Callithrix jacchus: one gene and its partners. The protein of the gene in region 5 purifies or fractionates together with the protein of the main gene of each other region. This does not show direct contact. Links are inferred from orthologs where the notes say so. Each region holds a gene or a part of one and is shown on either strand. Other genes may lie near its edges. The genes, in order: EAPP, ECD, AAR2, ZNHIT2, TSSC4, PRPF6 and DDX23.

Region 1 (3,998 bases), on a different chromosome or scaffold from region 5:
TGTGTGTGTGTGTGTATCCTTTCACAGACAGGACCCATACCTGAGACTCTTTTTCACAGGGAATCCTGGTATACATCCTCACTCCTCACCAAAGAAATCTTAACAGCAGTCTGATTTCCTATGTATCCAATGTCTCCCACGACAATATGAGGAAACATTGTTCTTTTAATTTTTTTTTTTTTTTTTTTAAGAAGTAAGATCTCACTATGTTGCCCAGGCTGTTCCTTTACTACTAGGCTCAAGAGATTCTCCCACCTCAGCCTCCCAAAGTCCTGGGACTACAGGCATGGGACACCACACCTGGCCAAAGTTGTTAATGAAAGCATGGCTTCACAGAAAGCTTCTTTGAACAGAATGAATGTTTTAAGCTTTAAGACTAGGATCTGGCCAGGCACAGTGGCTCATTCCTACAATCCCAACACACTGGGAGGCTAAGGCAGGCAGATCACCTGAGGTCTAGAGTTCGACATCAGCCTGACCAACATGGAGAAACTCTGTCTTTACTAAAAATAAAAAATTAGGGGCCGGGCATGGTGGCTCACGCCTATAATCCCAGCACTTTGGGAGGCCGAGGCGGGTGGATCATGAGGTCAAGAGATCGAGACCATCCTGGTCAACATGGTGAAACCCCATCACTACTAGAAATACAAAAATTAGCCGGGCGCGGTGGCTCACTTCTGTAATCCCAGCACTTTGGGAGGCCGAGGCAGGTGGATCACGAGGTCGAGATCAGGACCATCCTGGTCAACGAGGTGAAGCCCCGTCTCTACTAAAAATACAAAAATTAGCTGGGCATGGTGGTGCGTGCCTGTAGTCCCAGCCACTGGGAAGGCTGAGGCAGGAGAATTGCTTGAACCCAGAAGGCGGAGGTTGCGGTAAGCCAAGATTGTGCCACTGCACTCCAGTCTGGGTAACAACAGCGAAACTCCGTCTCAAAAAATAAATAAATTAATAAATAAAATACAAAAATTAGCTGGGTATGGTGGTGCACGCCTGTAGTCCCAGCTACTCAGGAGGCTGAGGTAGGAGAATTGCTTGAACTTCGGAGGTGGAGGCTGCGGTGAGCCAAGATTGCGCCATTGCATTCCAGCCTGGGTAACAACAGCGAAACTCCATCTCAAAAAAAAAAATACAAAATTAGCTGGGCATGGTGGCACATGCCTGTAATACCAGCTACTCAGGAGGCTGAGGTAGGATCATCACTTGAACCCAGGAGGCAGATGTTTCGGTGAGCCCAGAACACACCACTGCACTCCAGCCTGGGCAACAAGAGTGAAACTTTGTCTCAAGAAAAAAATAGAATCTGCTGACAGCTTAAGAAATAACTAGGGCCAGGCGGTAGCTCAAGCCTATAATCCCAGTGCTTTGGGAGGCCAAGGTGGGCGGATCACGAGGTCAGGAGTTCAAGACCAGACTGACCAAAATGGAGACACCCCCATCTCTACTAAATACAGAAATTAGCCAGGTATGGTGGTGCACACCTGTAATCCTAGCTACTTAGGAGGCTGAGACAGGGAATCACTTGAACCCAGGAGGCGGAGGTTGCAGTGAGCTGAGATTGTGCTACTGCACTCCAGCTTGGGCAACAGAGCAGACTCCATTTCAAAAAAAGAGAAATAACTAGGCCAGGCACAGTGGTTCACACCTGTAATTCCAGCACTGTGGGAGGCCAAGGCAAGCAGATCAGGAGGTCTAGAGTTTAACACCCCCTGACCAACATGGTGAAAACCCATCTCTACTAAAAATACAAAAGTTAGCCAGGGGTGGTGGTGCATGCCTGTAATCCTAGCTACTCAGGAGGCTGAGGCAGGAGAATTGCTTGAACCCAGGAGGGGAAGGCTGTAGTGAGCCGTGATCTCGCCACTACACTCCAGCATGGGTGACAGAGTGAGACTTTCAAAAAAAAAGAAGAAGAAAGAAAAGAAATAACTAAATTGGTGTAGAAATCTCTTAGCAACATAGCTTCAAGTTTCCCTGTAGAATAAATCACACCCTTCTAGAAATCCCACGAACTTTCATCTGTGCCTGTCTCAGGTCAATATTTTCTACAATGCTCTTCAAGATACCTACTTTATCTTATTACCCTTATCATACTACTAAGGCTCTGGAAGACAAGGACCTTATGATTTACCTCTGTAGCTAGGAGCAAAATAAAGCAGTCCCCCATGTAGGAAAAAAAAAAGTCCTGTTCAATATTCCCTTATTTCTGTTTACGGCAGTTTAGTCAAGATGGGTACTTCACATTAATTCCTATGAGCCTCTCAATAAATTTACATGTGTTATACTATGTTATGTAGCTTGTACAACTATAGGTTATTATAGTTACATTTTACAGGTAAGTAACATAAGATAAGTGACCTGTCTTCAGTCACTCTGCTGCCAAGCAGTAGAGGCAGGTTTCAGTCTCATTGCTTTTGAAGATTTACACACGTCCGGAGATTCCGGTAACCTCTCTCTTTTACAGAAAAATCGGCCCCACCTCCCCGGTAGCTGCACGACCCCATCAGGAAAGCCCTTTGGCCTCGCACAAATGACAGTGATGTACGACAGGCTCCCGAGCCGCATCTGCATAGGCTTGGCAGGCGCAACGAGTGGAGGCGACCAAGCCAGGCCTCCGCCCGAAGCCTCGGGTGCCAGGATAAGGCAGGGCCCACCTGCTCAAAGCCGGCTCCTCGTCACTAGGCTCTTCAATCGCGTAGGGGTCGTAGTCATTCGGCAGCCGGCTCATGGTGGCCTGCAGCGTCCTACACCGTCCACTGCGATCTGCACCGTCTCTGTTTACTCTGCAAGTTCCGTCCCTAAAGCGTCCCGACGCTACTTCCGCCTGCACTTCCGAGTCCCCCTTGCGCGCCTGCGCAGACGACGGAAGCGACGGGTCAGGTAAAAGGTGGGGGAGAGGTGGGGCTCATGCCTGTGATACCAACACTTTGGGAGACCAACGTAGGAAAATCACTTGAGGCCAGGAGTTCAAGACAACCCTAGGCAACAAAATGACACTCTATGTCTACAAAAGTTTAAAACATTAGCTGGGCAGGGAGGCTGACGCAGGAGAATTGCTTGAGCCCAGTAGTTCAAAGGTGCAGTGAGCTGTGATTGCCATTGTATACTCTTGCCTGGACAACAGAGTAAGACCTTTTAAAGAAAAAATGTTAACACGACCCCGCCCTCCCATCACCCTGTCTTGCCCTCCCCCGTAAAAATAAAATAATAATAAAAACGTTAACACAAATATCTAAAAACCACTGAAAAATTAGTGGATCACATAACCCGAATTCAATTTTAATTTCTGAATTGGATATTATACACAAAATTCCCACCTCATCACTGATGCTAATAATTTTTATCAAATTATCTATACCCCTTTAACTTTGAATTCTGAGGTGCTTATACACACATTTTTTCATGTCAAATTGTGTCTTACAAACTATTTACTATGGATGGGCAGTGCTAAAATAGTCACTTTTGAAGACTTTAAATTTATTATCAAATGTGGTTGTTTTTTGTTTTAATTTTTTGTAGAAACAAGTATCTCACTATGTTGCAAACTCCTGGACTCCAGTGATCCTCCTGCCTCGTTCTCCCAAGGTGTTGGAATTATAGGTGAGAGCCACTATGCCCAGCCACATGTGTTTCTTAATAGATAATTACTTAAGTAACTGTCCACGCTGTATACACTGTCCAGCCATCAACCACTAAGTAGCTGTATTGGTTGTCACATTACGGATCACAAGAAGACTGAGGTTGGCTGCGGTGGCTTACCCCTGTAATCCCAGCACTTTAGGGGGCCAGAGTGAGAAGACTGTACGAGCCCAGGAGTTCGAGGCCAGCCTGGACAACAAAGCAGGATCCTATCTCTCTTTATTTTTTTACTTTTATAAATAAAAAAGAAGATGCTCGGGGAAAACGATGTCCTGTCAAGTTGCTTGGGGAGATCTTAGAGCTTCATGTTTAACCGGGGTGGGGGGCGGAGGGGAACCCCGTAATAGTTGTGTCCTGTG
Region 2 (3,500 bases), on a different chromosome or scaffold from region 5:
CTCTCAAATATTTAATGAGCAGCTACTACATATGTCAAGCACTGAGCTAGGCAAAATTGTTGACGGGTAGTAGTTCATGGTTGAAAGCAATTCAAAACCAGGAAGAGAAAGCAAATATTTTGGCTTCTGAAATATCTAATAACCCAATGCTCTAGCAACAGCCATGCTACTTACAGTTTTAAAATGGAAGGGAACATCACACCATTACTTACCTAAAATCTTATCAAAATAATTAAGAAAAGAATCTGCATCAAAAGTGATTGGAGCCTCAGAAGGTTCTCTGCAATATTAAAGGACAAAGACAATTAATTTATTCTAAATATAACCGTTTGAAACTTTTCTAAAGTGGTACCATTCTTAAGAAAGCTACCAAAGATAGAATTTCTAAGGAGGCACAGCAAGAAAAATTGTAGTTGAAGTCTTAAAAATCCGTGAGCTTACTGGCCTTGCAGGACAACAGAAATGGGAAAGTCTGATAAATGAAAAGTAAAAACTGCATCTTGTTTATGTACATTTAACTTATGCTAATTTAGGGACCTACCCACTCTCTAGCCCCAGTAAGATATCTAGCATTAGTAAAAGCATTATTTATTTGAGTTAATTTAAATAAAGCCTATTTTTTTAAGAACTAAAGCTTAAAAAATAAACAAGAACATATCTTCCCTTATCCCTCCCTTATTAAAGACAGAATACCAAACATAAATTTAGATCTTTCACCAGCTTCAAGAGCACCAACACTAAAAATGATATATTTGATACATAAGTAACAATTCTATCTACCTGTTTTTCTTGTTACCTGCCAAATGTAATTTCACATTTCTGTTATTATTTCTGCCTCTGATGAATCCCTTTGAGTTTTCAGTATCCAATCTGCTTGTAGGGTGGGAGATCAGAAGTCTGAACTTGTCGAAAGCTAAATGTTGAGCCCATAAGGCTATTAAAGAGTAAAATACATGGTTTCCCTGTGTGGTTCTAGATGATGGTTTTTAGATCTGTTGGGTGATCTTTCTGGCTTATTTCAAGGATTGCAAAGGATGAGGCTTCTAGAAATCTGATTTCAGATAAGTAAGTTGTCACTATACTAGGTACAAAAAAGAAAGAAAGCAGTACAACTCATTTACTTAAAAAAAAAAAGTAGAAATGGCAATGGCCAATGATTTCAACATTTGGGTTCTAACTATTTATATATTTATACTTTTATGCAAATTACCTAGGCAGCTCTGCTCCCTTGTGGGTTGAGACTTTGGATATGAAAGATTTCATGCTCTCTGAGACTTGAGTTAAGTTATAGTTCTGCTCCTTCTCCTCCTTGGAAATAGACTCTGATTCTTTTCTGCCAGCAGCTTCCTGTAGCAACTGCTCCAGCTGATCTGCTGAGAGATCTAACCACTGGTCATCTGAAAAAGAAGAAAGCATAATATTGCCATTCTACATTCACATGATAAGTCCTTTCAGGAGAGGATCCTGTGAGACTTAGTAGAAGATTTTAATTTCTTTTTAACCCTTCCACTGTATCCCAGTCCATCACTTACCATCCTCTGGGGGAAGATTAGCTGATTCTTTCTTAAGGTCTTCTATATCAAATGGCATTGTCTGTAATAAGGTTAAGATTTCTTCACCTGGGCTCATAGCAAGAGAACTATAAAAAATGAAAACCATGAATATTTCTTCATAAAAGAACTTAGAATAGTAATCATAAATACATAGTCTTTTAAAGTTGGAACCTCTACGAAATTGTTTTTATACATATTATAATTACTTTATAGGGATTAACCAGTCTAATTTGGGGAGTTCTTGGTTTGTTTTTGCTCTTTTTTTTAAGAGATGGGGTTTCACTGTTGCCCAGACTGAACTCAAACTCCTGGGTTCAAGTGATCCCCCACTTCAACCTCCCAGGTAGCTGGCACTATAAGTACATGCCAAAATACCTGGCTCTAATTTGTTTTTAAGCATATTTTTAGGTTGCAGATCCCCTTTTCTCAAATAAAACTTTTTTTTAAATTTTATTTTTATTTATTTATTTTTTAAAATTTTCTTCTTGAATTATCAAGTAAAAAACCTTTTTTTTTTGGGGGGCAAATCACTTGAGGTCAGGAGTTCGAGATGAGCCTGCCCAACATGATGAAACCCCATCAAATAAAACTTTTACCAGTAACTCTAAAATACAGAAGGGCTCAAAGAAAAATGGCTTTGATTAAAGTGGAGGATAGGCCAGGCATGGTGGCTCATTCCTGTAATCCCAGCACTTTGGGAAGCCGAGGCAGGCAGATTACTTGTGGTCAGGAGTTCACTTGGCCAACATGGTGAAACCTTGTCTCTACTAAAAATACAAAAATTAGCTGGGCATGGGGGCATGTGCCTGTAATCCCCTACTCGGGAGGCTGAGGCAGGAGAATCGCTTGAACCTGGGAGGCAGAGGTTGCAGTGAGCCAGTACTGCACCACTGCACTCTAGCATGGGTGACAGAACAAGACTCTGTCTCAAAAAATAAATACATTAATTAAATTAAAGTGGAAGATAGAGGCAAAGAGATCTAGCCAATTTGCTTCCCCTTTGGCTCTGAAGCAGAGTAGGGTGGCTTACGCCTATAATCCCAACACTTTGGGGGACCACATTAGGTCAATTACTTGAGTTCGGGAGCTGGACAACCTAGTGAGACCCTGTCTCAACAAACAAACAAACAAACAAAATTAGCTAGGCATGGTAGCACATGTGTGTGGTCCAAGCTACTTAGAAGGGTGAGGCAGAAACCCATCAAATAAGGAAAAAGCAAATATGCAGAAATATAATAAACATATTGTTCAGTCAGTTTTACTTAGTACGACTTGAAAGGCCTTCTAAGTCCTTACAAAATAGATTTGATACACTGAAAAACACTGAGCTAAACAGCATTCCCAGAACATGCCATAATTTAATTAACCACTTCTCTACATATGAACATTTGTTTGAATTTGTTGATATAACAATGTTGCAGGCCAGGCATTGTGGCTCACCCCTGTAATCCCAACACTTTGGGAGGCTGAGGCAGGCAGATCATCTGAGGTCAGGAGTTCGAGACCAGTCCGGCCAATATGGTGAAACCCTGTCTCTACTAAAAATATAAAAATTAGCTGGGCATGGTAGTGGGTGCCTATAATCCCAGGTATACTTGGGAGGCTGAGGCAGGAGAATCGCTTGAACCCAGGAGCCAGAGGTTCCAGTGAGCTGAGATCGCACCATTACCTCCAGTCTGGGTGTCTAGAGACTCCATTAAAAAAAAAAAAAAAATATATATATATATATATATATATATTTATAAAATAAACATCTTTATGCATTTAAAAAAAATCCTCATTCTTTTAAGTCGTAATGCAAATACCTCCTCCCTGAACCTTTCCATTATCTTTCTTTTTTTAGCTTCTCTGCTTCTACCCTAGTGAAATTACCTTCTCACTATTGACTCTCTTTAGCATTTGATATTTCAGAATGATTTTTATCTTGCCTTTTGTTATGATTATTTG
Region 3 (4,176 bases), on a different chromosome or scaffold from region 5:
ACTGGGAGTTGGGGATGGGTGAAGAGGGAGCTGAGCTTCTTCATGCAGGAAATGAAACTTGACAGGACAGGCTGAGATTGATAAGCATGACTGTGACTGATGAAGGCTGTCTCTGGTTAATCCTGCAGCAGCTCATTGTGATTAACCATGACTGCAGGGCCCTGTCTAGTCTGCAACCCACTAAGAGATAAATTTTGACCGAGACAGATTGGCGTGTCCAGCTGTCACTGAGGAAATGTGACAGACAAGCTAAGGAGCAGCAGCACAGAGATAAGAACATACAGGCCTTGGTTTGCATTCTAGCTCTGCCATTTTCTGGCTGGGTAACATCATCTGTTTGAACCTCAGTTTTCTCTTCTGCAAACTGGGAATATACATACCTACTTACTAGGCCAGTGTAAGGATTAGAAATACCCAAGTGGCCTGCCCTAAAATCACATAAGCCAATTCTTTTTTTTTTTTTTTTTTTTTTTCCCAGACGGCATCTTGCTCTGTCACCAGGCTGGAGTGCAGTCATGCAATCTCGGCTCATTGCTATCTCTGCCTCCTGGGTTCAAGTGATTCTCCTGCCTCAGCCTCCCTGGTAGCTGGGATTACAGGCACACACCACCACACCCAGCTAATTTTTGTATTTTTAGTAGATACGGGGTTTCACCATGCTGGCCAGGCTGGTCTCAAACTCCTGACCTCATGATCACCTTGCCTTGGCATCCCGATGTCCCGGGATTACGGGCGTGAGCCACCGCATCTGGCTTCACCTAAGCCAATTCTTTGCAATAAATCACTTAACACAGATCTCCTACTGGCTCTGCGTCTTTGGTGGAGCCCTGATTAATAGTGCAGAGTTAAACTCGCAGTACCGTCATCGCTCAAGACAGGCAGGTTCTTTCCAGGCGTTGACAGCCTGACTGACATGTCGGACTTGGCCCGCAGAAAGGACACGGGGGGATCGTGGGCATAGGGACTGAGGGAGCGGCTGCTGGTTCTCTGGGCCGGTGGCTGGGTCTCTCTCTGAGGGCTGACTGTGACTGGAAGCTGAGACGCTGTGACCGGGATAGACACTGGCTGCCAGAGACTGTGACCGAGCGCCTGGCTGGCTGCTACCGGATAACCATGGCCCTGGCGGTGCTTTAGTGACCGTGACGGCTTGAGCCCAAAGGAAGATGTCTGGGGGCTGTGCTTCTGGATGGGGATATAAAACGCGTAGCTTAGTCCAAGTTGTTCACAATTAACGAGACACTAATAACAAAAGGCAACACTGGATCCGCCGGAACCTGCCGGCACGGGCCGTTCTTCCCGCGACCCAGGGCTCCGCCGGACCGCTCTCTTGGTTGCTCCAGTCCGGCGCCAAACCGGAGAACTTCCGGTGCGTTTCCGCGGTTTCGGAACGCGGGGCGAGGCGGTGAGTGTGGTCTCCTGGCCTCTGTTTCCTCTCCTGATTCTGTGTGTGTGTGTGTGGGGGTGTGTGTGTGCGTGTGTGGTGTGTGTGTGGGGTGTCTGTGTGGGGTGTGTGTGTGTGGGGGGGTGTGTGTGTGCGTGTGTGGTGTGTGTGTGGGGTGTCTGTGTGGGGGGGGTGTGTGTGTGGGTGTGTGTGTGGGGTGTGCGGGGGGTGTGTGGGTGTGTGTGGGGTGTGTGGTGTGTGTGTGGGGTGTGTGTGTGGTGTGTGTGTGTGTGTGGGGTGTGTGTGTGGGTGTGTGGGTGTGGGGGGGGTGTGTGGTGTGTGTGTGGGGTGTGTGTGTGGTGTGTGTGTGTGTGCAGGGTGTGTGTGTGTGTGGTGTGGGTGTGGGGTGTGTGTGGGGGGTGTGTGTGTGGTGTGTGTGTGTGCGGGGGTGTGTGTGTGTGGTGTGTGTGTGGGTGTGTGGTGTGTGTGTGGGTGTGGGGTGTGTGTGTGGGGGTGTGTGTGTGGGGGGGTGTGTGTGTGTGCGGGGTGTGTGTGTGTGTGGTGTGTGTGTGGGTGTGGGGTGTGTGTGTGTGTGCGGGGTGTGTGTGTGTGTGGTGTGTGTGTGGGTGTGGGGGGTGTGTGTGTGTGGGTGTGTGTGTGTGGGGGGTGTGTGTGGGGGGTGTGTGTGTGGGGGGGGTGTGTGTGCGGGGGGTGTGTGTGGGTGTGGGGTGTGTGTGGGGGGTGTGTGTGGGGGGTGTGTGTGGGTGTGTGTGTGTGTGTGTGTGTTTGTGTGTGTGGCGTGTGTGTGTGTGGCCGGGCCGCCCCTCTTCTCGGCTTGGAATCGCGGAGTGCCTTGAACTAGGCCCACCTCGTCAGGGGGGCCGTAGACCCTTCCTGCACTGAACCTGGCTCTGCCCTACTGTCCGCGTGACTTCCAGTGAGGTCTTTTCCCGAACTGAGCCTTTGTTTCTCGTTTACAAAATGGATATCATACTTGTATTAACTAAATATTTACTAAGCGTCTCATGTGTGCTAGGAATACAGCAGGACTCAGTCTTGTGACGGTGACAGGCCTCAATCAAACATGCAAAGCTCCAGTGGTGATAATTGAAACGAAGGGTACAAGGCACCCGAGAGTGTGTCACAGGAGACCTGATCTAACCCCGGGTCAAGGAACCTTTACTGAGGAGGTGAATAGTGAGCTGAGATCAGAATAAAGATTTGACAAAATGGAGAGGGAAGAGTTTTCTATCTGGAGAGAGAGAGCCTCCAATTTCAGGGTCCGAAAGGGGAACAGAGCTTGTTGGGGACCATGGTGTGAAACAAGCTAAAAGGGTTCCCAGAGGTCAGACCATACAGACTTCATGGGTCATAGGAAGAATTTTGGTTTTCCGAGAACGATATGGGAAACCACTCAGAGGCTGACATGGGTGGTGATGTGATTAGATTGGCATTTTGAAACGGATACTGCTGTTGAATGGAGAATGGATTGAGGAGCAGGCACTCTCTGAGTGAGGGACAATGGTAGCTTGGATTAGGGAGGTGGTGGAGAGACGGGGATGGATGTGATTTTAGGTGTTCCAGGACTGTGAGGAACTCACAGAGCCGCCAGTGACAGGGGTTGGTAGACCGCAGAGTTCTGTGCATATTTAATAAACCTTTTCCTAGCATCTCCTCTGTGCCAGGCCATGTACCAGCTGCTGGAGATATAGTGAATAGAATTACAGGCTGGTGGAATTAGAATGAAAGAAATGTCATTATCAAGGAGGAGCACACAGATGTCACAAGGGAAAATGGCTAATTGATGAGAAGTTACTCTAAATGGAATCTCTGTTCATTCAGCAAGTATTAAGTACTTTCTGAATTCAGAATTACAAATAGAAAGTGATACAAATTATTTAGAGCAGTGTCTTTCAAACTTTTATGACTGTGACCTACAGTAACACATACATTTTATGACACAACCAAGTGTACATACAAACACACAAAGCTCCAGAAAACAGTACTTAGCTTTACTACTTATGATGTATTGTGATGTTCAAAAGTTCTGTTCTTTTCATTTAAAAAGTAATGCCGGTTGAGACCTTTACATGGATTTCCTAATTCACTGATAGTTTGTGACTTGCAGTTTGGGGGAAAAAATGTTGATTCAGGGTAAGAGTCATTTGTAGTAGTTTTGGGGTAATGATAAAATGTACTTATTTTTGGAACAGGATTGGTTTTCCTTTCCACACTTTTTATTTATTTATTCATTTAAAGTAAAAAAAGTAAACAGGGCTGGGCATGGTGGCTCACACCCGTAATCTCAGCACTTTGGAGGCTGAGGCGGGTGGATCACTTGAGAACAAGCATTCGAGACCAGCCTGGGCAACATGGTGAAACCCTGTCTCTACTAAAAATACAAAAGTTAGCCAGGTGTGGTGGTGCACACCAGTAGTCTCAGCTACTCGGAGGCTGAGACATGAGAATTATTTGAACCTAGGAGGTGGAGCATGTAGTAAGCCAAGATTGTGCCATTACACTCCAGCCTGGGTGATGGAGCCAGACCCTGTCTCAAAAAAAAAAAAAGAGCAAATAAAATTAAATAGGTCAACAGGCAGCAGGTTTTCTGTGTGAAATTTTGGCATCTTGTTTGTACATCTGGCTAGATTGGTGCCTAGAGGGCAGGGACTGTCTTAATCTCTGATGTTTCTTTGGGGGCTTGGCAAAGTGCAGGTACTCAGTGAGTATTTGTTAGATTAATCAGGTAGGTATTTTAGGACTGGAAGATTAGATAATGGTTTGTTTACATTTGT
Region 4 (3,223 bases), about 7.3 Mb from region 5:
CTACTTCTACCTCCTTTACTTCACCGCGCTGCTGGTGCACCGTGAGGCCCGGGATGAGCGGCAGTGCCTGCAGAAGTACGGCCTGGCCTGGCAGGAATACTGCCGGCGTGTGCCTTACCGCATCATGCCCTACATCTACTGAAGCGGCTCCACCACCCCAGGTCGGGGCATGTGCCCACTCATCCAGCACACCCAGGACCAGGAGACAGGGCACACTCAGGACTCAGGGGCTTGCACCCCACCCAGCCCTGAGGATGAACAGCCTCAGAGAAGAGGCAGTTTAGAGCGAGGAAAAAATGAAACAAGTGACCAAAATCAGAGATGGTCTTCCTCCTTTGGATAAACACTGGGAACCCTTGGTGCACTTCTCTGCCATTCTGGGGCTAGGGTATTTAGGACTGGCTGGGTCAGCACTGATCAGGGAGAAACTGAGCAATGAATGGCTGGTGGGCCCAGTGGGTCAACAGCTGTCCCTCGGAAACAGGCACTGTCAACAGGGCTGACCAGTCACAGCTTTATTATTGACAAGGGTCCTCAGTTCAGCCAGGAAGCTCCTCGATGAGAGTCCTTGGGGCAGGTGGCACGGAGCCGCCCCAAAGTCGCTCCAGCTCCCCAGTGAGGGCAGCCACCTCCTGCGCTGCCACAGCATGGGCTCGATGAACCCTGGCGCAGCCTAGAGCCAGCGGTGTGAGGGCAGCCTCATTTTCGTTGGTCCAGGCCAGGAGGAACTGGCACTTCTTCCGGGCCCGGTAAAGGTGATCTCGCTCTTCTCTAGCCACAGCCTGTTTCCGGGCACGGCCCAGGGTCTGTGCCAGGTGTCCCAGTGCTGCCAGCGTGTAGCCTTTCTGGTTGGCCAGGCCCTCGCCCAGCAGGATGCGAGCAACTTCGTGCATAGCCCCTCGAGTGCCCAGAGGCCCAGGCGGGTGCTCGCCAGCTTCCAGCACGTGGGCTGCGGCCTGCAGGGCTTCTTCCGCAGAAGTGAAGACTTGCTGGGCACCCAGTGCTCCGGAAACGCCGAGCAGTGTGGCACAGAAGTCAGAGAGCAGTGCGTCGTCACCACCGTGATACAGGGCAAGAGTGTGCGCGTAGGCGAACAGCACGTTGGGCAGCTGGAATCGCACAAGCGGCGAGACTGGGCCGCGGCTCAAGCTGACGAGCGCGGGGATGCGGGTGGGCACGGCGGGCATAAAGGTCCCTGGAGCATGTCCAAGAACCCGCCCGGCGGCCACAGGCTCCGCGGCGGAGGCAACTTTCACGGATTCCTGCGGGGTCCTCGCAGGGGCGGGCTCCAACCCCGCGGCATCACTGCCCGGGGCATCATCCAGCTCCTCTAGGAGCGACGTTACGGATTCGCGGTTCCACCACCAGGGCCGCCATGGAGGCAGCAGCCGCCCGGCCTCACCGCGGCTCAGCAGCCGCTCGAAGGCTGCTTTTTCGGCCGGTGCCAGCCGCTCCCAGAGTCCCGAGAGGCCGCCGAGCGCCGCGCCGGGGCTGAGGCCTGCTTCCCCAGGCTCGTCCTCGGTTTCGCGTTGCTGACGCAGCCGGCGTAGGGCGCTCGCTAGGCGGCTGGGCGAGGCGCTGCGGCCGCGGAGCTCTCCCAGCACCTGGTCACGGTAGAAGTTTTCTGCGCAGGTGCCATGCGCCCGATAGCAGCGCAGCGAGCAGTACGGCGCATTACAGCGAGGGCAGGTGTAACGCGCGGGTTGGCCCTCCCCCGCCGGGCAGAAGTCACAGGGCCCGGCCGGCTCCATGGAAACTGGCGCCACGACCTACCTGCGAATGCAAGTCGGCGTTAGTTCGAAACTTCCGAGACTTCTCTGATTACTTCCGGTCCACCGCGGGGCCGACGGCGCGCGTTGGTCTCGCAAAGCTCCCAAGGATTCTCGGCAATTTCCGCCCACGCCCGGAAGCCGAACCCCACCCCTTTCCCAAGCAGGGCGGGGGCGGGCCCAGAAAACGGGAGTCAGGTACGAGCCCCGCCCTGTACGATGACGCAAGGAGCGGAAAAATGGGTCTGACCAGCGGTCCGCCCGTGCCACGTCGCCCCCTAGTGGTTACACCAAAACGTAGTCCGATAGTCTAAACAGAAAACCCTCTTTTTAGCACTATAATGCGCTGTGGCAGAAATCCGTATTTGCGAAGCATCTACCGTGGGCCACTAATTGTGTCAAGCCTACGGGAGGTGATGCAACCCTGCGCTGGAGAAGCAGCCATTCCACTAGGGGACACAGATAAAAGGGCAGTTGGAGCCGGGCGCTCATGCCTGTAATCCCAGCACTTTGGGAGGCCAAGGCAGGCATATCACCAGAGGTCAGGAGTTTGAGACCAGCCCGACTAACATGAAGAAACCCCGTCTTTACTAAAAGTACAAATATTAGCTGGGCGTGGGGACGGGTGCCTGTAGTCTCAGCTACTCAGGAGGCTGAGGTTGCAGTGAGCCAAGATCGTGGCACCGCACTCCAGCCTGGGAGCCTGGGCCAGTGAGAGAAACTCCTCAAAAAAAAAAAAAAAAAGGCATTTGGGTCCGCCTAGCCTACATAGCCTCGGTGTGTTTCCCCTGTTCCGCAGAAAACAGTATTTAAGAAATATCCGGCCGGGCTTGGTGGCTCACGCCTGTAATCCCAGCACTTTGGGAGGCCGAGGAGGGTGGATCACGAGGTCAAGAGATCGAGACCATCCTGGTCAACATGATGAAACCCCGTCTCTACTAAAAATACAAAAAATTAGCTGAGCACGGTGGTGTGGGCCTGTAATCCCAGTTACTCAGGAGGCTGAGGCAGGAGAATTGCCTGAACCCAGAAGGCGGAGGTTGCGGTGAGCCGAGATGGCGCCATTGCACTCCAGCCTGGGTAAGGAGAGCGAAACTCCGTCTCAAAAAAAAAAAAAAAAAAAAATCTGAGCTCCTATTTTCCTCCAAACCCACCTTTTCATTAAATACTACTATTCATCCATCTTTATTAAGTGCAGGCCCCATTGTAGGTGCCAAGAACACAACACAGATAAAAGGGAGTGGGGCGCGGGGGGGGAGGGGGGTCCCTGTCCTAATAGAGCTGTCTTGTGGCGGAATGGGGTTGTGACAAACCAAACTGTGAACGTATTCTTTGCATTCCCACTACTACTGGTGGTCTAAGCTTCCTGCCCTTCACCTGGATGACAATACATTGTTTTTCCTTTCTTGCCACCCTCCAGAAAAACCTGCCAGAGAAATCAGATCACATCCATC
Region 5 (4,300 bases):
TGGCCTGGCGGTGAGGCTGGAAGCAGCCAAGCGGGACCCCTCGTAGCCGACAGGGGTGAGCAGGGCCCAGATATACACGAAGCCTGAGGAAGTCCCAAAACCTTTATTGTCCCCACCAGGTAGCCAATGCTTCCAGCCCACCCCAGGAGCCTCAGCCAGGTCTGTTGGGAGGATGACACCCAGGGCCACCGGTGCCACCTACAGGCAGCATGCAGGCTCCCTCCCACTCTAGCTGCCCCTTGGCCAGACCTCCTGGGAAGGCAGCAGGACGGCAGTGGCCAGTGTGGTCAGGCGGCCCCGTCTCCCTCTGAGACCTCAGCGCCTGGGCCCTTGGAGCTGCTGCCCTTGTTCCGGAAGTGGTCTCGACTCCGCTTCCTGCTACTGTGGAAGCCAACCGTCTCCACCAGTGGGAGGCCTGGCATAGGCCCACCGTGGACAGGCCCTGTCGGTGCCTCCACCTCCTGCAGGCCCCCGTGGGGGCTGCCCCACTCCTCAGCCTCTGGGCTACCGGGCCTGGCCAGATGGGCCAGCTCCACTGGGCCCTCGCCCCTATCTGGGGCACGGATCCCAAGGCTGCCCCTGCCTGGCTCTCCCACTTTACCCAGAACCCTCTTCCTCTCGTGTCTGGCCTCAACCCCTCGGGCTGGTTTGGTGAAGACGACCCTCCCTTCCCCACAGCTGGAGGGGTCCTGGTTGAAGGAGGGCACGCAGTCAGTAGGGGCAGCCACGCTCTGGGAGCCCAGGAAGGCCAGGGCGGTGGCCTGATTGCTCTGCTCGCTGACCTCGGTCACATCTTCCAGGCTGTACTTGGTCCAGCGCTCGGGGTGTGCCACGTAGTCGGGGACTGGAGGCGCCTTGGGGGAGGCTGGGCTCCAATGGGCCCTGCCCAGCCCTTCCACTGGAGGCTGGCCTGAGGGTGCCAGGGGCCGCTTGAAGCCTCCATTGTCACTTCTGCTGCTGTGGGCCACAGGGGGTGGGGCCCGCCTGGCTGCCCCCTCCAGGAAGTCAAAGATGTCACGGCTGCGCTGGGAGAAGGTGGAGCTCATGCCTCTCAAATGGAACGGCTGCACCGCAGATGGGAGGAGGAGGCCTGAGGGGGGTGAGGGCGGCTCATCGGGGCCTGAATCCTCCTCCCCAGGCAGCCCCCCTGGGGACAGCGCTTCTACTTCAGCATCGCCAGGCAAGCTGAGGTCAGAGTCCGAGTCACTGAGGGAGACCGTGTCGGAAGGCAGCGTGTCATACTCCGTCTCATGCTCCCCCTCCACGCTGGGGGACGGCTCCTCTGTCCCTGCCTCAGCCATGCGTTCCCAGGACCACGTCACACCTAGACCAAAACAGCCCAGGAGATTCGTTTCAGGAACAGTGTTAAGAATGAGTCTCCTGCAGATCAACCGCCCCTGGACAAGGAGGGTCAGCCGGCAGACCTGTCCCACACAGGGTGGAGGCCCCTCTCCCCCTCCCAGCCCTCCTCTCACCTCCCTTGGCTGCTGACACTGGAGTGTGGCTGCACAGCCAGGTGGGCGGAACCTTGATGAAGGTCCTCAGTGGCACAGGTATGGTTGTCTCAGGCCTCGGAGTGCCCCTGGCATGCGTCTGTTCAGCTGCTCGACTGCAGGTGGGAGGGGTGGGGGAGAGGACCATCCTCAGACCGGAGCGCAAATGTGTGAAAGAGGTGGGAGGCAGGACCGACCTGAGCCCGGGTTTTGGAGTCCCTGACAGGCCAGAACCCAGGGTAGGGACTTCTGAGTCGTGACTTAATTTAATCGCGTCAACCCTCTGCAGGCAGGCTTGGAACTACGAAGCGATTCTGGTAGTAAGCAGCCGCCCAGGGCTGGAACCCAGGGCCGAGATCAGGCAGGAGAGCTACTTATAAGCTGCTTGCTGTTGGGGGGTGAGCAAGAGCAGGCACCTTCCTGGTCATCGGGGAAAAGGTTTGCTCCTATCTGCTGGGAGAGCCCCGGGAGCTCCCAAGACATCTGCAGCCAAGGCCCTGGCATCGCACAAAGTGGGGTGTCAGCCCATCAATCACCTCGAGCAGCCCTCACAGGCAGAGGCAAAGCCGCGTAGCTCCTGGAGCGACCTCTAGTGGCCTTCCCCGTGTAACACTCAACACACACACCGCCTTTCCAGCGGGGCAGCCAAGCGGCCTCCCGCACCCATTTAGTGGTGGAGTGACTGGGTGCCTCGGAGCTGGCATTGCCAGTGGAGAGGACGGCCCGGCCTCACCCTTCTGCACTGCCCTCATCCATCCACTGACTCCTTGCCCGCCAGGGTGACATGTGTCCCGTGCTCCCAACAAGGATGGGGTCAGGGGTACCAGAAGGGGCTCCTAGTGCCCCCCACCAGGTCAAACAGAGGCAGCACTTCAATTCCTCTGCGGCGTGACTCTCCTCCGTGAAGAAGCCACCCCGTAAATGAAAGGGGCTACCCGGAACCCCCCACTGATGTCCGTTTTAGAGCCGGCAGGGACGGAGGCTGAAGGAAACCGTCCCTTTGCCCACATGAAGGCAGGGCCTGGCCTTTCTCCTCTCTATGCGCCAGCAAGACCTCCCCGCCAGGGAACAAACTCTCTGTGCCAAGTCGGCTCTCGGTGCGAAGTCGGGCTGGACACTCACGAGGATGCTGTGGGTCCCAAGGGCTCGGCCGCGGGGTACGGGGGTCGGTGAGCACAGCGGGGCTTCAGCTGCGCTCGGTGACCTCCCGGAGGCTCACCCGGCTCACGCGGCCCGTCGTTCCTCAACACAAACCTACCAGCTCAAGGCGGCACGGCCGTCTCCATCTTGGTCGGCTCCGCCCGCCCATGCAACGCGCTCAGCCCTCTGGGAAACCGAGTGTTCATCCGGCCGAGCGCCGCGGCTTCCACGCCCGCAAAACTACACCTCCCACAAGGCACTGGGCCGCCGCTCCCGACGCCTGTCGGGACGTGTAGTCTTGTGCGCATGCGTCCGCCTCTCTACTCCAGGACACCGCGGCCCTGGCGTCCGGCTCGGAAACAGCCCCGGAACCGCGGCATTTGTTGGCGAAACAAGACCGGAACTGACCAAGGAGAACAGGAAAAGGAGGGGCCACGCCTGCAATTCCCAGAATGCTCGAGGGCTAACCGACCGCCGCGCCGGCTTTCCGTGGTCCCAGCGCCACCTGCTGGAAACCGTGAGAACAGCGGCCGCCTCAGGCAGGAAGTGCGTCATTTCATAGGGAGGGCGAATGCCGTTCGGACACTTCCGGTCATGACCGGAAGCGGCAGCTGTAGCTCTTCCGGGGCTTCGGAGCACTGAGGCGGGGCTCCCCAGGATCCCACGGTCCCGCTCAGGGCGGACGCAAAGGCGGTCCCAGCCCGAGATGAGGACGCGGAGTCTTGACCTGTGGGCCACGGGTGAAGGGGGCGGCCCTGCTGGATCCTCTGGCTGGGCCGACGCTTTCCCACCCCTAGGGGTTGGCTGGGCCCTGGAGGCAAACTTGTGGGGCGTCGCCCTTGGGGACGCTGCCGGGCCGCCCGCGCAGCCCTGGGCCCTCAGCTCTGGCACATTGGTCCGGCCTCCGAGGGCGCTGCAGGGAAGCCAGGGCCAGGCCCTTCCAGGTCCCCGGTCCCCCGTCCTCCCGGGCGGGGTGGAGGCCGCTGAACGCTCCTCAAGCGTGGCTGGGTGGGCGGCAGCCGGAGCGGTGTGGCCTCCGCCATGCCTGGGAGCCGGCAGCCTGGCCTCGCCTGTCCACGGTGCCCGCCCTGAAAGGGAGAGCGAGGGCCCAGGTTCTCCCCCCGACAAGCCGCGTGTCCCTGGGCCACGGGCCCTGGTTGGTTGGCGCCCTGTGCCCCGCACACTGCGGGGAGCTGAGTTCCCCTCGGCGGCTACACCGCTGGGCCGTGTCAAGGCTGGAGACAACTCCCTTCCCAGGGCCTGCTGTCCTGGCATCCGCCGGGAAACAGGACTCAAGGACCTGCTGCGGCCTTTGGGATGTCATTCCCCGCCCACGGAGGACACAGCGGGAAGTGGAGAGGGGGCTCCTTGCACCGTCCTGTGCTCCCAAGCAGTGCAGCCTTGGAATTTGGGAGCAGCAGGAGAGGGCCTGCTGAGAGACTCCGTAACCCCCCAAAATGCAGGGCCGGGGGCAGTTTCCAAATTGGCTTGCAGAGAGGCTGCTGGGAGCCCTAGACATAAATTCCCAGTCACTCCTTTCCTCCAGGGGTCAATGTGCCAGCAGCTTCATCTCCCCAACTAGGGAAAAGCAGCCGGAGCGACAGCAAGCACCACCCCAGGGTCCACGGTGTGAGGGAAGATAGGAGAGCCTAGACCAAGCCCATTGG
Region 6 (4,093 bases), on a different chromosome or scaffold from region 5:
AAGCTTGGTGAAAGATACACAGAAACCTTTTTTTTTTCTTCTGAGAGGGAGTCTCACTCTGTGGCTAGGATGGAGTGCAATGGTGTGATCTCTGTTCACTGCAACCTCTGACTTCCTTGTTCAAGCGATTCTCCTGCCTCAGCCTCCCAAGTAGCTGGGCTTACAGGCACGTGCCATCATGACCAACTAATTTTTGTATTTTTAGTAGAAACAGGGTTTCACCATGTTGGCCAGGATAGTCACGATCTCCTGATCCTGTAATCCGCCCACCTCGGCTTTCCAAAGTGCTGGGATTACAGATGTGAGCCACCATGCCTGGCCAACTTTTTTCAACTTTTTTTTGGCACTACTGTTGCAAGTTCCTGCAAATTTAAAATTATTTCAAAACTAAAATTATTTTTAAAAATTTTCCTCAGAGGAAAAATGTGATCTGTTAGAAGACAGTTAATCGGTATTCAGTCAGCTGAGGTTTTCCTTTAGATGTCTTTTTAGAGGGCAACCACTAACGCTAAAAAAACCAAATACTTTCGGTTTTTATGATAAAAGACTGACCAATACAAAATACCAGGGCAGTGGTCCTCATATCTGCAAGAACATCTCTCTGAAGAGATAAAAAGTGCACATTCCTCCGTATTTTTCCTGCTCCCTCTCACTCTGCTAAAGATGTCCCGTGAATAGCTGAAATTTTAAATGCATGAGCCACTCCACTGGTTAGGGAGCTGGTCAGCTGCTCCCAGAGACTGGCTGGAGGAGCCACAGAAGCCCAACACATCCCACCTCGTCGTAATTGGTGTCATTTAGGTCCTCATCATCATCATCAGCAGCCTGGTTTTTCTTCATCTGGTCCCCAACGGTTCTCTTTCCTGGGGGCGCATGACGATCATCCACAGGATCATTTGCATCACGGGCGGGCCCAATGTCTGACCGTGTGGTGAAGCCGGTGGCACTGCAGGAGACCCCCAAGACACCCAGTATCTGAATGCGCCTGTTCCCAGGCTCTTCTCCACCCCTGGTCATCACTTAATATCACCTCTATTTCTAACACCTCTGGGAAATCTCCAAAGATCCTGGTGACAATGAACTGCAGTCTCAAATACCACCGATCTCTACTTACCCGAAGGTTTCAACTCACCCTGATGACGTTTCCAAGGCAATCCCTCCACCCAAAGGCTTTGATCATCTCCCCCTCCACATCCAGCCAGGCCCTTAAACCCAACTTGGCCCAAACTGAGCTCCTCTTCTGGGCCCACCTTACAGCTTGCTCAGGGGTGTTTCAGCGTGCTGACCCACATGCCATGGGTGTGGGTCCATGACACAATATTTGCCTCCCTTTCCCACTCTCTCCATCCTGTCTGCCACTAAGTACTAATGAATCCACCTCCAAAATCTCTCCTCCCCAGACTATGACTCCCACCACAGCTGGAAACCAAGTTAGCCCTCCCTGCCTCTAGCCTTCCTCTACTTCAACCCATCTTCTGCAAGATGATTCTTCCCAAAACACAGCTCTGATTGAAAACTTCTGAAGGGTCACGGTCTTTCCGACGTCTCCAGGAGCTCTAGCCTGTGGCTCAAGGCCACTCCAACCTCCTAAGCTCTGTTCTACTGGCTGCACATCCTATTCACACTGGACTCCCCTGTTCCCCGGGCTTCCTCCTGGCCTCACTTTTTTCCTTTCTTTTTTTTTTTTTTTTGAGACAGAGTTTTCGCTCTTGTTACCCAGGCTGGAGTGCAATGGCGCGATCTCGGCTCACCGCAACCTCCGCCTCCTGGGTTCAGGCAATTCTCCTGCCTCAGCCTCCTGAGTAGCTGGGATTACAGGCACGCGCCACCATGCCCAGCTAATTTTTTGTATTTTTAGTAGAAACGGGGTTTCACCATGTTGACCAGGATGGTCTCGATCTCTTGATCTCACGATCCACCTGCCTCGGCCTCCCAAAGTGCTGGGATTACAGGCGTGAGCCACCGTGTCCGGCGGCCTCACTTTTTTCTAACTCTCCACACACACAATGGCAGTTTCTCTTCTATCGCTACCATATTTCGGCAGCCCTAAGTCCAGCTCTCCTACTAAACTTGGCCCCAACGACACCCTCCATTAAGCACTGGGTTCTAAATCTGATCCTCCTTACGTACTGATTTATGGTAACACCAAACCCTCCATGAGCTTCGGGTCCTCTGAAGGCGCAGTCAATATCCGAGTCTTGTGTGTGCCCCACAGATTCTAGTATATCACCACCAAGAAAAACCCAGTAGTTTTCCTCATCAAATGAATGATCAGATAGGATAGCAATGACTGCTCACTTATCCGACCCAGGCACGCTTAAGGCGCGGCGAGGGGGGTGTCAGCCTGACCTGGGAAGGCGGCCGCGTTTCCACTACTCCTCACTGCAGGCTGCACACAGCATCATCTTACACTGGGGCTGACAGCCAGGGCGTCACAACCATGCAGCAGGCAGGCTGCATACACACGTCTGTCCTGACCCAAAGCCCGCGGCTTCCTGCAGGGATTAAGCCGATCCCCCGAGTGTCTTTCAGACCGCGCAGCCAAAGACCCCCGCCCCCAAACACCTGCACTGCGCTCCGCCAGCCGGGTCGCCGCCCCACGTCTTGCCCCAGGCCTCACCCCCGGCCCAGCCCCGGCACGTAGCCGAGCGGCGCGGGCATCCCCAGGAACGGCTTCTTCTTCTTGTTCATGGCGGCGACGATGACCAAGGCTAGGAAGGAATGAAGCCGCGGAAGAGAGAAAGACGCAGACACTCCGAGCTCCGACGTCCGAGGCGCTCGGTAGGAGGAGGTCGCGGTTGGCGCGTCACTGGCGCCCCGGAAGCAGAGCGCTCGGTCCGCACAAAGCCCGCCCACTTTTGACTCCCCGGGCGGAAGCCCCGACGCGCTCCTGACGACTTCCGGCCGCGGCTAGGGGGCGGGGACATGGCAGGCGCGTGAGCTGGAGCGCCTCCTCGTGGCGGGGCAGGAGGAACGAGGCCGAGCTTGCACTGGGACCCTAACGGGCTCCGGGGACGGCCCCAAAAGCTGAGCCTCGGGCATCGCTGCTTCCCCAGTGCTCTGATGCATTCCCAAGGAGACCTGTCTGCCAGTAGGGCCCTCGGCCCCCTCCCTCTGAACCAGCCCAGCTTCCCGCCCTCGCCCTTGGCGGGCCCTGATCACTTTCGAGTGGAGCGCACCCCGTGCAGTTGTGTAGAGCTTGTGCGTACTGGTTATGGGCACACCTGTCTGTGGGCACACCTGCCTGTGGGCGTCCTGTGCGCACGCTGCTGCCCTATGCTTTTACGTAGGGGCACCCCCGCAACATTGTGCTTTTAGCATTCACATTTTTGGGCTCCCATTCAGGCATCTGTGCCTCCAGCGGGATTAGAGACCCCACCCACGGCCCCCAATATGCCTTGGACATTCTGGTGAGGGCCGCATTCTCAGCTCCCGGAGAGCTAACTGACGAAATCACCACAGCGGACCTGTCAGGAACACGTCAGTACATAAACATGGCTGTCAAGCATGTGGGTGAATTCTGTGTGTGTGAATTAGTGGGGTGTGTGCACATTGAGGTCACGTGTGCTCGTTTTGGGTACACGTGCATGACTCTACTCTGTGCACGCATTTCTGCTCCTTCTGCTGTAAGACATCCTCCAGATCCCCTGCATACACCCAGGGAGAGCACCTAGGCTCCTGGGCAGAGCAAGCCAATCACAGCCCAGCCCAGCATTTCTCACTGGAGTCCTGGAGCAAACACATCGCTCCAGCCTGCTACAGCCTCCTTGGAGTTCCTCTCTGTCCCATCTCCAGCCAAGCCCCTTTCAGTTACAGAGGACTGCACCGCCCCCCGGGCACTGAGCCAGGTTCTGGGGCTGCAGAGGGAAGGAAGAGTAACCCTAATGTTCACAGTGGGGTGGGCGGTAAGCAAGAGTCAAGCTGGTTTCCCCGGGAAGCGGGTGCCCATTCCAGGGAGAGTAAAGAGGCAGGAGGCCGAGGGCAGTATGTGGGAGGGGCTGATCTGCCCCTTCTCCTGGCTGTGGGTAGAAGGCCCCGCAAGATGCCCGTCAGCCCATCCCTACGCACGGAGGGGCCGGACCTCAGAGGACCC
Region 7 (3,500 bases), on a different chromosome or scaffold from region 5:
GGAGTGATGGAAATGGGGAGGGTGATAAGAAAAGAACGCAATGATCTCACTTCAACATCAGAGGCTGGGTCTGGGCAAAGTGGCTCAAGCCTGTAATCCCAGCACTTTGGGAGGCCAAAGTGGGCAGATCACTTGAGGTCAGGAGTTTGAGACCAGCCTGGCCAACATGGTGAAACCGTGTGTCTACTAAAAATACAAAAATTAGCTAGGCGTGGTGGTCAGCACCTGTAACACCAGCTACTTGGGAGGCTAGGCAGGAGAATCACTTGAAGCTGGAGATAGAGGCTACAGTGAGCCGAGATCCCACCACTACACTCTAGCCTGGGTGACAAAACGAGACTCCATCTCAAAAAATAAATAAATTAAATAAAATAAATTAAAAAATAAAAACCAGAGACTCCAGAATAGCAAAGTTCTCCAGGTCTTTGCCAGCAAAAAATAAAATAAAATAAATAAAAATCAGAGACTCCAGGATAGCAAAGTTCTCCAGGTCTTTGCCAGCAACATATAGTTCTATGATACCACAATCCAATTATTCCCTAATATTCAACCCAGAATAAAGAAGCAAGCTTCTGATTATAGGTGTAAAACAAAAACCAAACATTCATTTGCCACTTTCATCTTTCCTACCCAGAAAAACCCACTCCAGCTGGTGCCAGCTGACCTCACCTGTCAATTTTGGGAAGTGTGGTGATCCACACCAGCAGTGGGATGAGGAAGGCTGCTGTCTTGCCGCTGCCAGTCTCAGCCACACCAATGATGTCACGATTCTGTAGCCCAATGGGAATTGCCTGACGCTGGATAGGTGTTGGTTCCTGCAGTGACCCCAAGAAAGAGTAATAGGTACAGGCAGAATTATACAACCTGGGCTACCATTGATAGTAGAAAGCACATCTCCTAGCACAATGGAAGGATGCCAAGTACAGTCCACAGAAATGGGGACCCCAAGAAGAAACATAATCACTAAAAGCCAACACTTCTACTAGAAACTGATAGAAAAGGTTGATGCCCACTAGCAGCAATGGTCCCAAATAGTCAAGGAATAAAGTTCTGTATTCCCAAACTAGGAACATGTCAGATCTCTTGGGCCAATCTGCCCCTCCTTACCTTGTAGCCACACTTATCAATGACCTCCAAAATGTGTGGGGGAAGAGAAGAGTCTTTCCAAGATCGGATGGGATTGGGGATCTTGCCGCCTTTGGTGGTGATGCTGTAGTCCTCACGGAAGATCCGCCAGTCCCTGTCCGTCATCTCATCTAATTTTTTCTGAGACCAATGACGATCATCCCAGCGCTGCTTGGCTTCCTTCTTACGAAGTTTTCGGAGTCTTGCCCTGGAGCAGGATGTGAGGAGTAAGTAGGATCAGTGCCCTCCAACTCCTTTCTGTAGAGACTGGGCTCTGTCCAGCCACCCTAGCCTTGATCACTCACTCCTCCTGCTCCTTTTCTTCCAGGGTTCGTCTCTTCTCCATTAGGTCTCCATAGAAACGTGACTGCTCTCGTTTCTGCTGCTTGAGGTCAATGCCTGCAATGAAGCCTCGCCCCAGTAACTGCACCTGGTGCCGTTCTTTGTACCTGGGATTGAGACAAAGGAAGAAAAAAGAGAAGGAGCTGCTACGGCAGTAGGAGGGAAGGACAGATTGCCAATATGAAACAGTTCTTCCTGGACAGGGTCTTCTTTCCACCAGAGGGTTGGCTGACTACTAGTCTACCAATTTTCCACCCCAGCTTATCTTACTTACTCCAGTCATCAGCTCTCTAGGACTGCCCAGTGGAAAAGACCTAGAACTCAGGCCCGAAGCCACTCACAGGGGATTGTAGTCGATGGATGTGTCTTCAGATGCATCCCACTCAAAAACAAACTTTCGGTCATTGAGATGTCTCGTTCGGCGCCGCTTTTTGATGCCACCCAGGTAACGCTCCTGCCCAGGGAAAGAACACAAAGCACATAAGCCTCGAGGCTCAAGTCTCACATGCAGAGATCACAATGGCCAAATAACTAAACCTCATTTTTGTGTATGGGAGAGAAGTGAAGATGGAGCCAAGGCCTGCACCTTAATGGCATGCAGTTCCTTGCTCTTATCCTTCTCTTCCCGGATCTTCTGCCGCCCTTCCTCATCCTCATTTCCATTGGTCTCCCGCTCCATCCTCTCCCTGCGTTCCCGACGTTCCCGTTCCTGAGGATCTTCTGCAGACCAAAGAAAGCAAAGCTGCAGAAGAGCTCATGGAAGAAAAGAGGAGAGGGAATGGAGGGAATCCAGATGAGGAACACCAAATGAAGAAAAAAAGGGATAGACTTATGATACAGGGTAAACGGAGATCTAACAGAAAAATGTTTTCTCATCAACTCCCACCATCTTTCCCTTTTCCAAACTTCAGAGTGAACAGGTTTCTATCTCTCCTGAGAAACACTATCTCATCTCTTTCCTCTCCCATCTAGGGGCTACACAGAGTAGAATAACGAACCCAACATCTTCCTGCCCAAGTCTTGGAACTGTTTCCTTTTCTTCCTCTCTTCTTCAAGCATCTTCTGCCGCTCTTCCACCTCCTGCTGCCGTCGCTTTAGAGCTTCAGCCTCTCGTTCTGCTTTGGAGAGGAACTTGGGCTACAAAACAGATTGGAACTGTAAACAAAGGATCTGGGAGCAGAGTATAACCACATCACTGATGGGGAGATGGCAGGGAACCCAAAAATATTTGCTCAGGCATTAAGCCTGTTGAGGAAAATACAAATAGGCCTTGGATCCTGTTACGGACTGAAATATGTCCCCTATGGATTTCATGTGTTTTTTTAGACTGGAAGCAGTGGCACATGCCTATAATCCCAGTGCTTTGGGAGGACCAGATGGGAGGACTGCTTGAGGCAAGGAGTTCAAGACCAGCCTGGGCAACATAGCAAGACCTTATTTCTACAAAAATAAACAAACTCAGCAGATATGGTGGCATGTGCATGTAGTCCCAGCTACTCAGCAGGCTAAGGCTGGAAAATCATATGAGCCCAGGAGTTTGAGGTTATAGTGAGCTGTGACTGTACCACTGTACTCCAGCCTGGGCAAAACAACAAGACCTTATCTCTTTAAAAAAAAAAAATTCATGTGTTATATGTATTTTTTGAGACAGTCTCTTGCTCTGTTGCCCAAGTTGCAGTACAGTGGTGTCATCAAGGCTCACTGCAGCCTCAGCCTCCTGAGTAGCTGGGACTACACACGCATGATACCACAACCGGCTAATTTTTTATATTTTATAGAGATGGCTTTTCAGCATGTTACCCACGCTGGTCTCGAAATCCCTGACTCAAGTGATCCTCCCATCTTGGACTTCCAAAGTATTGGGATTACAGGTGTGAGCCACTGTACCCAGTTCAAAATTCATATGTGGAAGCTCTAACCCCCAGTACCTCACAATGTGACTGTATGTGGAGACAGGGCATGTAAAGAGGTGATTAAGTCAAAATGAGACCATTAAGCTGGGCACAATGGCTCACACCTGTAATCCCAGTACT

The links.
Region 1: the proteins of TSSC4 (region 5) and EAPP purify together in Homo sapiens (affinity purification with mass spectrometry; 3 studies listed by BioGRID and IntAct, counting the BioPlex papers as one, with this or other methods). This does not show direct contact. The link is inferred for Callithrix jacchus from reciprocal best matches to the Homo sapiens genes TSSC4 and EAPP.
Region 2: the proteins of TSSC4 (region 5) and ECD purify together in Homo sapiens (affinity purification with mass spectrometry; 3 studies listed by BioGRID and IntAct, counting the BioPlex papers as one, with this or other methods). This does not show direct contact. The link is inferred for Callithrix jacchus from reciprocal best matches to the Homo sapiens genes TSSC4 and ECD.
Region 3: the proteins of TSSC4 (region 5) and AAR2 purify together in Homo sapiens (affinity purification with mass spectrometry; 3 studies listed by BioGRID and IntAct, counting the BioPlex papers as one, with this or other methods). This does not show direct contact. The link is inferred for Callithrix jacchus from reciprocal best matches to the Homo sapiens genes TSSC4 and AAR2.
Region 4: the proteins of TSSC4 (region 5) and ZNHIT2 purify together in Homo sapiens (affinity purification with mass spectrometry; 3 studies listed by BioGRID and IntAct, counting the BioPlex papers as one, with this or other methods). This does not show direct contact. The link is inferred for Callithrix jacchus from reciprocal best matches to the Homo sapiens genes TSSC4 and ZNHIT2.
Region 6: the proteins of TSSC4 (region 5) and PRPF6 purify together in Homo sapiens (affinity purification with mass spectrometry; 3 studies listed by BioGRID and IntAct, counting the BioPlex papers as one, with this or other methods). This does not show direct contact. The link is inferred for Callithrix jacchus from reciprocal best matches to the Homo sapiens genes TSSC4 and PRPF6.
Region 7: the proteins of TSSC4 (region 5) and DDX23 purify together in Homo sapiens (affinity purification with mass spectrometry; 3 studies listed by BioGRID and IntAct, with this or other methods). This does not show direct contact. The link is inferred for Callithrix jacchus from reciprocal best matches to the Homo sapiens genes TSSC4 and DDX23.

What each region holds. Positions count from the first base shown.
Region 1 is NC_133509.1:69,044,596-69,048,593, forward strand, and holds the start of EAPP (E2F-associated phosphoprotein), read right to left. Parts: upstream 2,801-3,998; 5' UTR 2,729-2,800; coding exon 2,655-2,728; intron 1-2,654. UniProt on the Homo sapiens protein: May play an important role in the fine-tuning of both major E2F1 activities, the regulation of the cell-cycle and the induction of apoptosis. Promotes S-phase entry, and inhibits p14(ARP) expression.
Region 2 is NC_133513.1:56,997,084-57,000,583, reverse strand, and holds part of ECD (protein ecdysoneless homolog), read right to left. Parts: intron 1,640-3,500; coding exon 1,533-1,639; intron 1,398-1,532; coding exon 1,211-1,397; intron 281-1,210; coding exon 213-280; intron 1-212. UniProt on the Homo sapiens protein: Regulator of p53/TP53 stability and function. Inhibits MDM2-mediated degradation of p53/TP53 possibly by cooperating in part with TXNIP. May be involved transcriptional regulation. In vitro has intrinsic transactivation activity enhanced by EP300.
Region 3 is NC_133506.1:3,058,581-3,062,756, reverse strand, and holds the start of AAR2 (protein AAR2 homolog), read left to right. Parts: upstream 1-1,376; 5' UTR 1,377-1,402; intron 1,403-4,176. UniProt on the Homo sapiens protein: Component of the U5 snRNP complex that is required for spliceosome assembly and for pre-mRNA splicing.
Region 4 is NC_133511.1:122,197,078-122,200,300, forward strand, and holds ZNHIT2 (zinc finger HIT domain-containing protein 2), read right to left. Parts: upstream 1,886-3,223; 5' UTR 1,752-1,885; coding exon 540-1,751; 3' UTR 501-539; downstream 1-500. Other genes in the region: delta(14)-sterol reductase TM7SF2, read left to right, coding at 1-142. UniProt on the Homo sapiens protein: May act as a bridging factor mediating the interaction between the R2TP/Prefoldin-like (R2TP/PFDL) complex and U5 small nuclear ribonucleoprotein (U5 snRNP).
Region 5 is NC_133511.1:129,467,956-129,472,255, forward strand, and holds TSSC4 (U5 small nuclear ribonucleoprotein TSSC4), read right to left. Parts: upstream 2,801-4,300; 5' UTR 2,616-2,800; exon of another isoform or gene 1,610-2,615; 5' UTR 1,476-1,609; exon of another isoform or gene 1,325-1,475; 5' UTR 1,302-1,324; coding exon 288-1,301; 3' UTR 89-287; downstream 1-88. UniProt on the Homo sapiens protein: Protein associated with the U5 snRNP, during its maturation and its post-splicing recycling and which is required for spliceosomal tri-snRNP complex assembly in the nucleus.
Region 6 is NC_133506.1:59,454,445-59,458,537, reverse strand, and holds the start of PRPF6 (pre-mRNA-processing factor 6), read right to left. Parts: upstream 2,801-4,093; 5' UTR 2,692-2,800; coding exon 2,621-2,691; exon of another isoform or gene 2,566-2,620; intron 947-2,565; coding exon 778-946; intron 1-777. UniProt on the Homo sapiens protein: Involved in pre-mRNA splicing as component of the U4/U6-U5 tri-snRNP complex, one of the building blocks of the spliceosome.
Region 7 is NC_133510.1:70,732,011-70,735,510, reverse strand, and holds part of DDX23 (putative ATP-dependent RNA helicase DDX23), read right to left. Parts: intron 2,605-3,500; coding exon 2,466-2,604; intron 2,188-2,465; coding exon 2,054-2,187; intron 1,922-2,053; coding exon 1,809-1,921; intron 1,575-1,808; coding exon 1,431-1,574; intron 1,334-1,430; coding exon 1,108-1,333; intron 816-1,107; coding exon 670-815; intron 1-669. UniProt on the Homo sapiens protein: Involved in pre-mRNA splicing and its phosphorylated form (by SRPK2) is required for spliceosomal B complex formation.